3 linked regions of the Coturnix japonica genome follow. The protein of the gene in region 2 interacts with the protein of the main gene of each other region in a pairwise test. Links are inferred from orthologs where the notes say so. Each region holds a gene or a part of one and is shown on either strand. Other genes may lie near its edges.

What was found.
Region 1: the proteins of USP25 (region 2) and SYK interact in binary tests that used the Homo sapiens proteins (3 or more experiments, as listed by UniProt). The link is inferred for Coturnix japonica from reciprocal best matches to the Homo sapiens genes USP25 and SYK.
Region 3: the proteins of USP25 (region 2) and TNKS2 interact in a two-hybrid assay, tested with the Homo sapiens proteins (2 studies listed by BioGRID and IntAct). The link is inferred for Coturnix japonica from reciprocal best matches to the Homo sapiens genes USP25 and TNKS2.

The regions. Positions count from the first base shown.
Region 1 is NC_029547.1:39,258,087-39,261,740, reverse strand, and holds part of SYK (tyrosine-protein kinase SYK), read right to left. Parts: intron 1,848-3,654; 5' UTR 1,806-1,847; coding exon 1,392-1,805; intron 806-1,391; coding exon 645-805; intron 1-644. UniProt on the Homo sapiens protein: Non-receptor tyrosine kinase which mediates signal transduction downstream of a variety of transmembrane receptors including classical immunoreceptors like the B-cell receptor (BCR).
Region 2 is NC_029516.1:88,770,036-88,773,689, reverse strand, and holds the end of USP25 (ubiquitin carboxyl-terminal hydrolase 25), read right to left. Parts: intron 3,306-3,654; coding exon 3,182-3,305; intron 2,537-3,181; coding exon 2,341-2,536; intron 1,909-2,340; coding exon 1,736-1,908; 3' UTR 453-1,735; downstream 1-452. UniProt on the Homo sapiens protein: Deubiquitinating enzyme that hydrolyzes ubiquitin moieties conjugated to substrates and thus, functions in various biological processes including inflammation and immune response.
Region 3 is NC_029521.1:17,321,881-17,325,534, reverse strand, and holds part of TNKS2 (poly [ADP-ribose] polymerase tankyrase-2), read right to left. Parts: intron 3,117-3,654; coding exon 3,011-3,116; intron 2,444-3,010; coding exon 2,257-2,443; intron 1,466-2,256; coding exon 1,309-1,465; intron 991-1,308; coding exon 928-990; 3' UTR 1-927. UniProt on the Homo sapiens protein: Poly-ADP-ribosyltransferase involved in various processes such as Wnt signaling pathway, telomere length and vesicle trafficking.

The sequences.
Region 1 (3,654 bases), on a different chromosome or scaffold from region 2:
ACATCTCCATTAATTTGGAGCTTGGCAGAATAATGGCAAATCAGTAATGTGAAAACAGTTGGCACTGAAGAAGCATGTCCACCCTCACTTCTGAGGTTTTACCTTGGCTCAAGAAGGAGCTGCAGTCTGCCAAGAGCCCACATTGCAGCAGGAAGTGTGAGAAGAAAGGAGCATCAGGGGGAAACTATTGCAGACTGACTATAACCCCAGACTCTATCCCCCTGTGCTGTCTGGTGGGAAGAGGAGCTGGGCGTGAAGGAGTGAAGATGAGCTTGTAAAAATGGGAGGGGGGGTGTTCTGAGGGTGGTTTATGTTTTTGTCTTTGTTATTTACTATCCAAATTTTAATTTGGATTAAATCAGTTTTCTCCAAGAACTGGTAAACAGTTTCCCAGTTCTCTCTCATGTTGACCAACAAGCTTTTCAATCCTGTTTTCTGACTTCCCATCCAGCTGCAGTGGCAGATTGTGAGAGCAACTTGGTGGGCTAAGTTTAACTCACCACAGCCACTTAGTACGTGTGGATAAATTCAGCAGGCATCTGTGAATAAGCCACCTCTTTGGGTATACTCTCACTTGCTGTTCAGCCAAGTGAACTATTTAATGATGGTAGTGATAAACGACAGCAATGCAGGAAAACACTTACAAAAATTTTCCATTGTTTCTTGACCCAATGAGGATACGGTGCTCTGACTCTTCCCGGGAGATCCTCCCATGGAACCAAGGCATCTTCTCATGGGCTGTAGTGGCAATCAGTTTCTCCAGCTGAGGCTTTTGGCTAATTATAGCTTGTTCAAGAGCATGACCCTGGAGTGGTAAAATAATAGGACATTCTAACTGTCTTCTGCAGTAGAAAACGTACAGATGTAACCCCAGTATTGCATTGCATCTGGGACACCTAACACATGCACATATTTACTTTATGTGAAGAAAAATACTAGTTGCTACACAGACACTGAAAGACAAAATACGCTAGAGCAATTTAAACATCACAAAGCTGGGATTTTTCCTTTATCTCTAAGAAAGAAGTGAGTAACTTAAGACATCAGTATCTTAACTGAAAAGATAGTCTGACATAGCTAGGTATACTTAATATCCCTGGGATGTCAAACTGCATCTCCGAGAGTGTTGTCCAAACAGTGCTGGAGCTCTGGCAGCTTGGTGCCATGACCTCTGTTCTGGGGTGCCTGTTCCAGTGTCCTGTCACCCTCTGGTGAAAAGCCTTTTTTCAGTACCCAACCAGACCCTCCTCTGAAGCAGCTCCATGCTGTTCCCTTGGTGGGTCCTGCCACTGTTATCACGTAAGAGATTAGCACCTGCCTCTACTCTCCCTTAGTGAGGAGACTCTAGGCTACCATGAGGTCCACTTCATGGCAAATTCACCTGGATTTACCTGCAGATTCCATGTTTGTTTGACATACTCTCTGATGAGGTTCTCTTTTAAATCTTCAAAGGGCCCTGTTTTGGGCTCAACGCCTGGTGGTCGATTGAAAGATTTTCTCAGTAGACAGATAAGGCCATCTGCTTCCTCTGAATGATAGTTAATGAGTTCAGCAGGACTTGCATGTGATTTGCCTCCTGCAATAGCATATGTCCCACTCAGCTCTCTCTCAATTGTGTAATGATGAACCTTCCTTCCATAGGCCAAGGATAATGCAAAGCCCCCTAAGTAATTCCGGCTTTGGCGAAGCAGGTATAGTCCATCACTCATTCCTCCTTGCATCAAATACTCCTCAGCATCCTCACGTGTAATATTGCCAAAGAAGTATGGCAAATGGTTAGCAGGGTTAGCCATGCTGGAAGCCATGATTTTTTTTTTCTTTCCAAGTAGTCAATTAATGTTTAATGCCTGAAATGAAAAAAGGAAACATGAGCATCACTAGAAGTTATTAATGTGATAGTGTAATCTTGAACAGCTTTCATTTCTAATTCCTTATATTGGAATAATATAAAGAAACACAACAAAAATACAGAAAAGAATGAAGTTCGGTATCTCTGAGGAGTACTGAAGACAATATAAATAGCTTAAATTCTTTTATTCTTAATTTAACAGTTACTCTAGATACAGGAGTACTGTTCTTGATTCCTGTGTTCCCTTGAGTTACCTCAATCTTTGACACTGCCATCAGAAAAACTTACCTTTATTAAACCCTAAGATATGCTTACACTGCCTGGGCAGCTAGGTACTGTCCTATAGAAAAAGACTGCTGTTTCTCCATCTTTACAAGATCACTGCATATCTGATATTCTTTTTTTCCAGTGCACGTACACTAAGAAAAATGTATGTATACAAAGTACAATAATCAAGGACATTAATGTAGAAAATACTTATTGGTTTTATTTTTGTTACTGTTCATCTGTCTTCCCATCTTCCTTTACTTTGAATAAAGGCTGAATAAAGGCTGACAAAAGAATGAGAAGCTCAGCTGCTGTTTCAGTTGCTGTGCAGGATCTAGCTGCAGCACCAGTACACCCTTCACAACTAAAATAAAATGGCAGGATTTTAGGGAAACAAGACAGAAGTCCATGGATTAAAAAATGCAAGTATACGTCAAGATCACTCAGCCTGCCGAGTGTGCAATTGTGTATCAGCTGGCTGAAGTGTGCAACTAAGTCATGTGAAAGTGGGTGGAGAGAACTTTATAGAAAACCAAGCAAGAAGGGAGGATCCCTGGTGCAACACTGCAACTGAGGAGTCAGCATCCTAAAAAAGAACCCTTTGTCACAGGGTGCTTCAGGCTGCCATCTTCCCCGGCAGCCCTGCTGCAAGCATGGCTATTGCCTTCTCAGTTCATAGATGGATCATTACCAAACTGTGGCCAATCTGATATTTCTTGCATATGAGGCAAGAAACAGATGAGAAATACCTTCACTATGAGTATGCGAGGTAGTTGCAGTGAGGGGAGCACACTAGTCAACTGAACAAGAATCCCACAACACAGAAAACACTGCAGAAAAGCATAGACAGGGCACAATCAACACTGAGACATATGTTTTGCAGATCTTCTGGTTTTCTCTCCTTCCTGAATAAGGGAGACATTCCAGCTACAAAACTGATTTCTATACAGCTTATTAACTCTTGTGGTTTGCATCCAAAAATTACTAACTTAAGATCACTTTCTACATTCAATTTAACCTTTCCAGCATTTTTGTTGATAAAATTTCCCTTTGCTTTGCCTTTAAAATCTCTACATTTTGAGCAGTTATGATCTTAGTCTAAATTACCTATCAACACATCTCTCCCTGTTTATTGCAAAACAAGCCCATAAGGGAAGAGGATGGTAGTCAGTAAGTCACCACAAGTAGTCATTCTACAAAAAATACCATCTAAAGGGGAAATTACATTTGCACCAAATGAAGACTAAGAAGACATCCCTTTAATTAAATGCATTATTTTAGTAGCTTACTGCAGGGCCAGAGGCTTGTAATCACTGACCACGTGGTCTAATTGGCTGTTCATAGTGGTCTACTCCAGGACCCACACAGGGGCCAGTAATATCCAACATCTTCATTAATGAGAGGGACAGGGGGGCTACAAGTTCACATATAATACTTAACTGTGAGCTGTAGCGGATAAAACAGAGGATTTTGATGCCAGTTTGAGGGACAATAAAAGAGTGGAGAGCTGAGATTAGATGAATTTAATTTATCTGACT
Region 2 (3,654 bases):
TTCATACACAAGTAGTTTCAGGCCTAAAAAAGAAAAGGTTTCTGAGTAGTACTGTGATACTAATAGCTCAGTTTAATATAACAGATGGGTAGACTGACAATTATGAAGCACTTCAATACTGAAAAAAAGAAGAGGAAAATACTCATGCGGGGGAAAAAAAAAAAAAAAAAAAGAAAAGAAAAAAAACCTTTAAAGTCAAGCCCACATTCTATTTACTATATATTTCAACCCAGTGTTTTCTCAAGAGTGAATAATTTTCAAGACTGAACTTAGCCTCTTCTTGAATGTAAGCTGCCCACACATATCCCACTACAGTTCTAGGTGATCTGAAATCAATTAATCCTTCCTCCTTCCTTCTTTCCTCAGTTATTTTGTTAGCAGAAATCAGAATACTCTCCACTAGAAAGCTTGCAATGAGAAGTTCAGTGTCGCTCCAATAAAGCCAACAAGCAAACATTCACATATTTTACTGTTCTAACACAAAATGTTCTCTATAATGAGTAAGAATGAAAATAGTATCAGGTAACAAGATTAATTAAGGACACGTTAAATTTCTTTCTCCACAAAATAAGTAACACTCTTTGTTTAAACTAGACAGAGTTTCAGTTCTACAAAACAAACCCTGTAGAACTTTTCTTTCACTTCCAACAGAAATGTGATTAGGACACACATAAGATTGCTGAGATTCTTGTAGCATCAATAGCAACACATTTCAAGTAAGGGATTAGTTATGTTTTTACTTCTGGTCATTCACATAGCTAAAATACTAGTTTGGGGTTTTTTCTGTTTGTTTGTTTTTAAAACAACAACATTAATTAACCTTTAAGATTTGCCAAGTCCACTTTTTCAAAATCTTTATTTTCTCTATTCAAATCAACTCCTAAAATTTTTGCTTAGAGATATTAATATATTTCAAATGAAAATAGGTTTTTTTGTTGTTTTTTTTTTCTTTCAAGCTTTTTCCAAAGAATAGAAGGGAAGCATCATTGTTGTTTTGCTTCATAAGCCAGTCCTTGTCATCAGAATACACGTGGCATAGCCACACACACACAGAAGTGTTCAGGTGCAGTATCATAAAGATCAAAAAAGTATATACAAAATAAACCCAACCAACAGCGTATAATACTGCGACAGTTTTTCAGAATATTCACATACAGTAATCTCTGACTACCTTCATCTAACTGTCCATAAATCCTGAAGAATCTTATCTATAAAATGGAGTTACCCATCAATATACTGTATCTCTCCTAAAAATGCCTATATTTTACACTAATATACAAGTTATCTGCTTGCAAACACAGAAGTAGCCATAAATAAAACTTTATTCTTTCATTTCATTTACAAGCTACCAAGTACCATGTATTTACACAGCACTGGACACTTAAAGTAGTTGCAGTCACAAAATGATCCAGACAGCTGTTGATAAAGTAAAGGATCTTAAGATAAAAGCAAAGTAATACTGTAACAGAGAAGTGGCAAAAAAGCAGTTTTGCCATAATTATCAGACTTGCAAGTTGCATCAATTCTGGTTGAAACGACTGAGTGCCATGCGATTCTCAGCTTTAACTGTTTGCAGTCTGGCTAAACTTTGTACAGTCATTTCTCTTCTGCAGTTATTAAAAAAAAAAAAAAAAAAAGTTAAAAACTATAGCAGCAACAAGCAAACCCTGTGACAGGAAGGCAAGGTTTAAGAACTAAAAAAGTTTATACAGTGTGCTCAGGAAGGTTGCAGAATTTATCTTCCATCAGCTGGAGTTCGACTGAGTGACAACATGATTCGGGCGTATCTTTCACACAGTTCATGTGTGGAGTACGAGGGTAACTTTGGCGGGTCATTGAAACCTTTAATCTCTGTAGAACAATCTAGTAGTTTTGGCAGGAAATCTGTCAGCTTTTCTTGCAAGTTAGCTGCAAATGAAAGAAAAGAAAATAACCATAAGCTTTTATGTCCACAGGTGCAATTTTCCTCTTCCTGCTCCAAACTGATTCTTTTTTTTTTTTTTTTTTTTTTTTTTTTTTTTTTTTTTTTTTTTTTTAACAGGGATGGGAGTATTAAGAGTTTCACTTGGAATAATGCACTTTCTTCAGTGAATAAAAGTTTCGTTTAAGGACTTTGTTATATATAGAAAATATTGCAGAACTTCATTATTATGTATGCATGGGAAAAACTGCTGTTCATTTAAATGTGTACAGTATTACTCTAAAGTCATGGTAATTCAAAATATGTTACCAAAACACAAAAGATTCAGGCTCTGTTCAAGACACAAACCAAAACATTTTAAAAAGTAATGAATAAAAATCAGGAGTGTGTGAGCGTCTTATACTTTAATAAATACTTACGTTCCATTTCTTGTCCAAGATAGGAACACCAACGATTTCTCATATCTTCCACAGCGACAATATCTTTTTCTTCCATTTCATCCACCAGAAGTAATGGCAAACACGGGACAATAAGCTCATTCATAATGATCAGGCCATTGTTTACTTCCTGATCATCTCCTGATTCAAACAGTGCTGCAGCATGTTCATTTAGTTTCTTCACGTACCACCACAAAAAAGAAATTCTTTAAGTATACAGCATTTCACAATTGACCATTCTGTTTTTGTTTGCCTTATGGCAAATCTGCAATAACAACTGAGCTTTAACGTTCACAGCAATGGTACATAAACTCTATTAAACCATTTGATCTTGTACTACTCTCCTAAGGCCACTTCAGTTGATACCTGCCAAGTCAACTTTTTTAGCTACTCCTTTTCAAAACTGAGGTCCTACCATCTGCTCTTGCCTATTCTTATGATTGCAAAGAAAAAGGTGACATAATCAAGGAAAAAAAATCATATCTGCTGATACCTTTTTCTAAACATTTGCATCCCTGTCCAACTGCAATAACATTGCAAGTTCACCCACCAATACTGCCCACTGTTGCTTCTACCTAAGCCCAGACACAATGGCAGTGAGCACACTACTTATAATGATAAAGAAACTGATTACTTAAAACAAACACATGCTTTATTCTCACTACACACATTTCTTCCTCTCACCTTTTTCTTATTGAAATCTTTGTAATTTTTAATGAAAATGCTTTGGTTTTAGTTTTTTTGAAAGTATGGCAGCATTGCCTAATTTGTTAAAGCTATGTGGAAAATTCAACTTTTGTAGTATATTGCATCCTTCACTTACTAGCAAACATTCTCGTCTGTAGTGAGATATCAGCTCTTCATCATGCCCTCTGTATGGGCCTTTGGACAAGAGTTCTTTGTTATTCTGGTAAGCATAGATAAGGTAGAGCAAGGCTTCCATATAGCTAAAGCAAAGTAAAGAAACAAAGTTGTTAGATGCAAATCCAGATGACACCTATTTCAAGTTAACTACTATGTTCTTCATAGGATATGCAACTTCACTTACTTGCTTGACTGCAAATCCAACCCTCCTCATCCATCTCTTCATAATGTTGCATTTTCTACCACATATTTTCTTCTTTTGTATACATTAGAACAATGTATTTTATTATCAGACTAGATAACTTGCACATGAAGTGTGATCCAAAGCTCACTGACATAAACCTATATCATTTCACCCACTTCAAAAATGGCTTTGGATTAACCTTGAATATACATGAAAGTTTATTTTTTTTCCTGCATGCATTTATGTCA
Region 3 (3,654 bases), on a different chromosome or scaffold from region 2:
CTCAAGACAGACCTCCTTGAGGTTAATTTGCCAACTACATTCAAGAAAAATAATTTATTAAAACTAACTTGCAAGGTCTACTAGCCTTGAAGGGAGGATACGGTTCAACTATAGCTACAGTTAAATAAAAACTTCAGAAGACATTTTACAGAAATTAGAAGACGAGACTCTATAAAGAGGTGGAAAAGCACCCAAGCATTCAGCTGGAATATTTTCATAGCCTATCACTCTCAGGAATGTATATTTCATAAATAAAACTACGGAACAAAAATTTGAATATTCAATCTAAAGTTGGCTATTTCTAAACTTCTCCAGATAAAATTCGTTTTCTCCCTCCCAAACAAATGATAAACCCTGAAATAATTGGCTTTTCAAATCTATTGCGCATGAGCAAACAGGTGAACAAACCAACATCTGGAAAAAACCATTTTGTACAAGGTTGCAGTTCTAAAACACGTATATTACAAAGCAATGTAAATAAATACCAAGCTAGTACAAAAGCTCTTATTTACAGTTTTACAAATGAAAACATTTTCAGTGTAAATGCAGTGTTTTAAAGAACACAATATTAGTAAAACAATTTCCTGTATAGAGCATCATAATTTCTGTTATATTTCAATGCAGTATTGTATAAAACCATCGCTTCAAGTTAATTTTTGTTTATAATTTAGTACAGGCAAACTGCAGTTTACGCCTGGAATGGTATCCGTTAAAGTGCTGAAAAAAGACAATTCTGAAATTTTAGAAAAACATACTATACATTATTAAAGCTTCATCAAGTCAAAAACGGCAGATTTTATTCACATTTGCTACCAACACCACCTGTGGATGGAAGATTTTTTTCTCAACAACTCATTGCAGTTAACAGGATGGCAGCCATCGGTATCTTCACATCCAAGTCTGATGGTTTCTCACACAAAATTTATCTTAAGCTTCAGTGGTGGCTTCAGGTTTCATGATCTGGTAAGTAATCAAGTATTCTGGATAAGCCTGAAAGAGTGACACACACATTCTTTATTAAGTTTACGTTTTCTGGATACATTCAGAATGTTTGTTAGAGAGGAAAAAAACCAACATGTTTATGTCAAAGAAAAGGACAAAATGTCAAATGGTAGAATGCCTCGAGTACTCAGGCAACAAAGAAAACTCATGTTCGGCCACAGCTGGAGATTAAGACAAAAGCTACTCCTAGCACATGGAATGTAAGGTGAAAACAAAACAACCACAACAAACCCTCACAAAAGGCAAGACACTACATCACCCTAAAATAATAAAAGTCTGAAAATGCAAACCAGAAGAGCAACTTACCTGCTCCCCTCTGTAGATGACATATTCTGCCAATGCCAGTCCATTGACACTGGGTCTCCCAGTAACTGAGTGATGTCCAGGGGGAGAATGGGCCATTTTCATAGCACTGAACTGCAGGAAAGACTTGCCCAGCGTTACACGACAGAACAACAACTGTCTGTGTTAAAAGGGGAAAAAGAATCATGACTACAGAATGCTTGTACAGCACTAGAAAGACAGTCTTCATAATTTTAAACTGCTGCTTGAGAACTGCGGCACTTTGTGGACACTTTGGATGGCGTTGGTAGTTTGCAAAACTCTGAAATTTTATTTCCCTTTTAATTTTCTATGGGTCCCCACTCCCTAACTATTCATGCTAACATCATAGTGCACTAATGCTCTAACATTAGATTTCAGTCTGACATTCTCTAGACCTCAAGAAGATTCTTCTTTTTATTTGAGAGTACCAGAAGATGGCAACAGTATAAATACAGGCACACGGACTCAAGGATGTAAAAATGTAGGTAGTGGCAGGGATTGCATAAATCCATGTCTATACTTTAGCGCTTGAAGCAGCAGTGACATGGTAGAGATGAACTCTTCCAAAGTGCATTCTCCTCAACACAGCATCTGAGCATCACTAAGTTTTTCCATGTCTCTATAAACAGGCAATCAAGTGGACAGCACACTGACACTGCTACATTTTAAACACAAGCAGCTAGCAGATCCTCCTTGTTCTCTACCTAAGTCTGATTTTTAAGGGCAAAGGCTTATTTATATACACTGAAGATGGTTGAACGCTCTGTAATACAAATACCAAAGTTCTTTGATCATCTCTGCTAGGCTCAGTGTATAGCAAGGCCTGGTTACCAAGGAAATCTTTTCTCACAGAATCTGCTAACTTACACACTGTGTTGCAGACCAGCAAATCAAAATTAGATTCCTTTATGTTATTCCTTCATAACTTACCTATGGCAAACATAACAAGATCTATCTTTGTGAATTGGACATCCAGTGCCACCTCCAATCCCATACACATACTGATTGCTTTTGGAAGAATTTTCAGCAAAATAAATTCCAGCTCCAAACATGCCACCTATATAAGCGTGTCTTTCATCAAAGCCTTTGTGAATGATTGCGTTCACAAACGGGGAGCCTAAAAGAAGGGAAGTATAAATATTTAAGTACAGCACTTGGAAATTTATAACAATTTTACTATCATCCCCCAACTTTTTTTCTTTTTGGCATACCATTTCCACACACACACAGAAGGAAATCAATCTCCAGCAACTGTGAGCTCCAATTTACATGACAAGATTGCTGAAGATCTTATGCAAGGGATAGGAGCTGAAACATGTCAGCTTATCATATATTTACAAAGGTTACTATCTCAAACAACTCTTGCTATAGGAGAAGGCTCAGTGAACCTGGATTCCCTTCAGCATGGCTTCATATCATAGATTCTGGATTTCACCGCTACATAAATCCCATTCTTGACACTAAGTGGTATTTAAAAAAGAAGTTAAAAAATACACTCCAAACAAAACTGTGCAGCAGCTGTCTAAAGCATTCTTCTGTTTGTCTCTCCAATGTTCTTTTTCACCACTTATTTACTTGCAATTAACGGTCATAAAATTTAGACCTCAAGAATAACCAACAGAAACCCTCCACTAAAGAGTACTGATGGTTAAATGAGTATCAAAGACACATCCCAGCATCTCACCATGAAACAGCATCCTTTCATTAGCATGGTTATGATTCTCTTCAGAGACTTCTTTCCTCCTGTGAGTGTATCTTTCCCACAGCTTTTTGTTGCAGACTTTCTGAATCTGAAACAGTAAAAACTTAAGTTTCACCTCCAAACTCAAAACATGTGTTGACGTGACAGATTTTTAACATACATTAATTATACTTCAACACTTTAAAATGCTTAAGGAATATTTAATTATTTCTTTCCTTAAAACTCAAGAAAACACTGGAATTCTCTAATTTATCCTCACAAGTATTATTCCAGTTTGGTACTGAGTAAATTGTAACTATATGTTTAAAAGTAATTGATTCTTAATTAAACATCTTAAACCTTTTTTACATTTAGCAGGTCTAATCACAATTATACCTCGGTATCCTTCCAAGAGCAGATTGATAAAGCCACCTATATAAAGTAGAGTTCCCGTGGAAAAATACTTGTCAAAGCAAGTAAGTAAGGTACCCTAAGCAGAGGTACACTGAGCACTAACAAAGCCTTGTGTGTGTAGATAATGCATCTATTCTACCAGAGAAGTGTAATATTAGGTTAGCATAAAGTTTATATTTAAGAAATTAACAGCTTATAATTTTAAACAAAACAACAATTTCCCTAGGACAAAA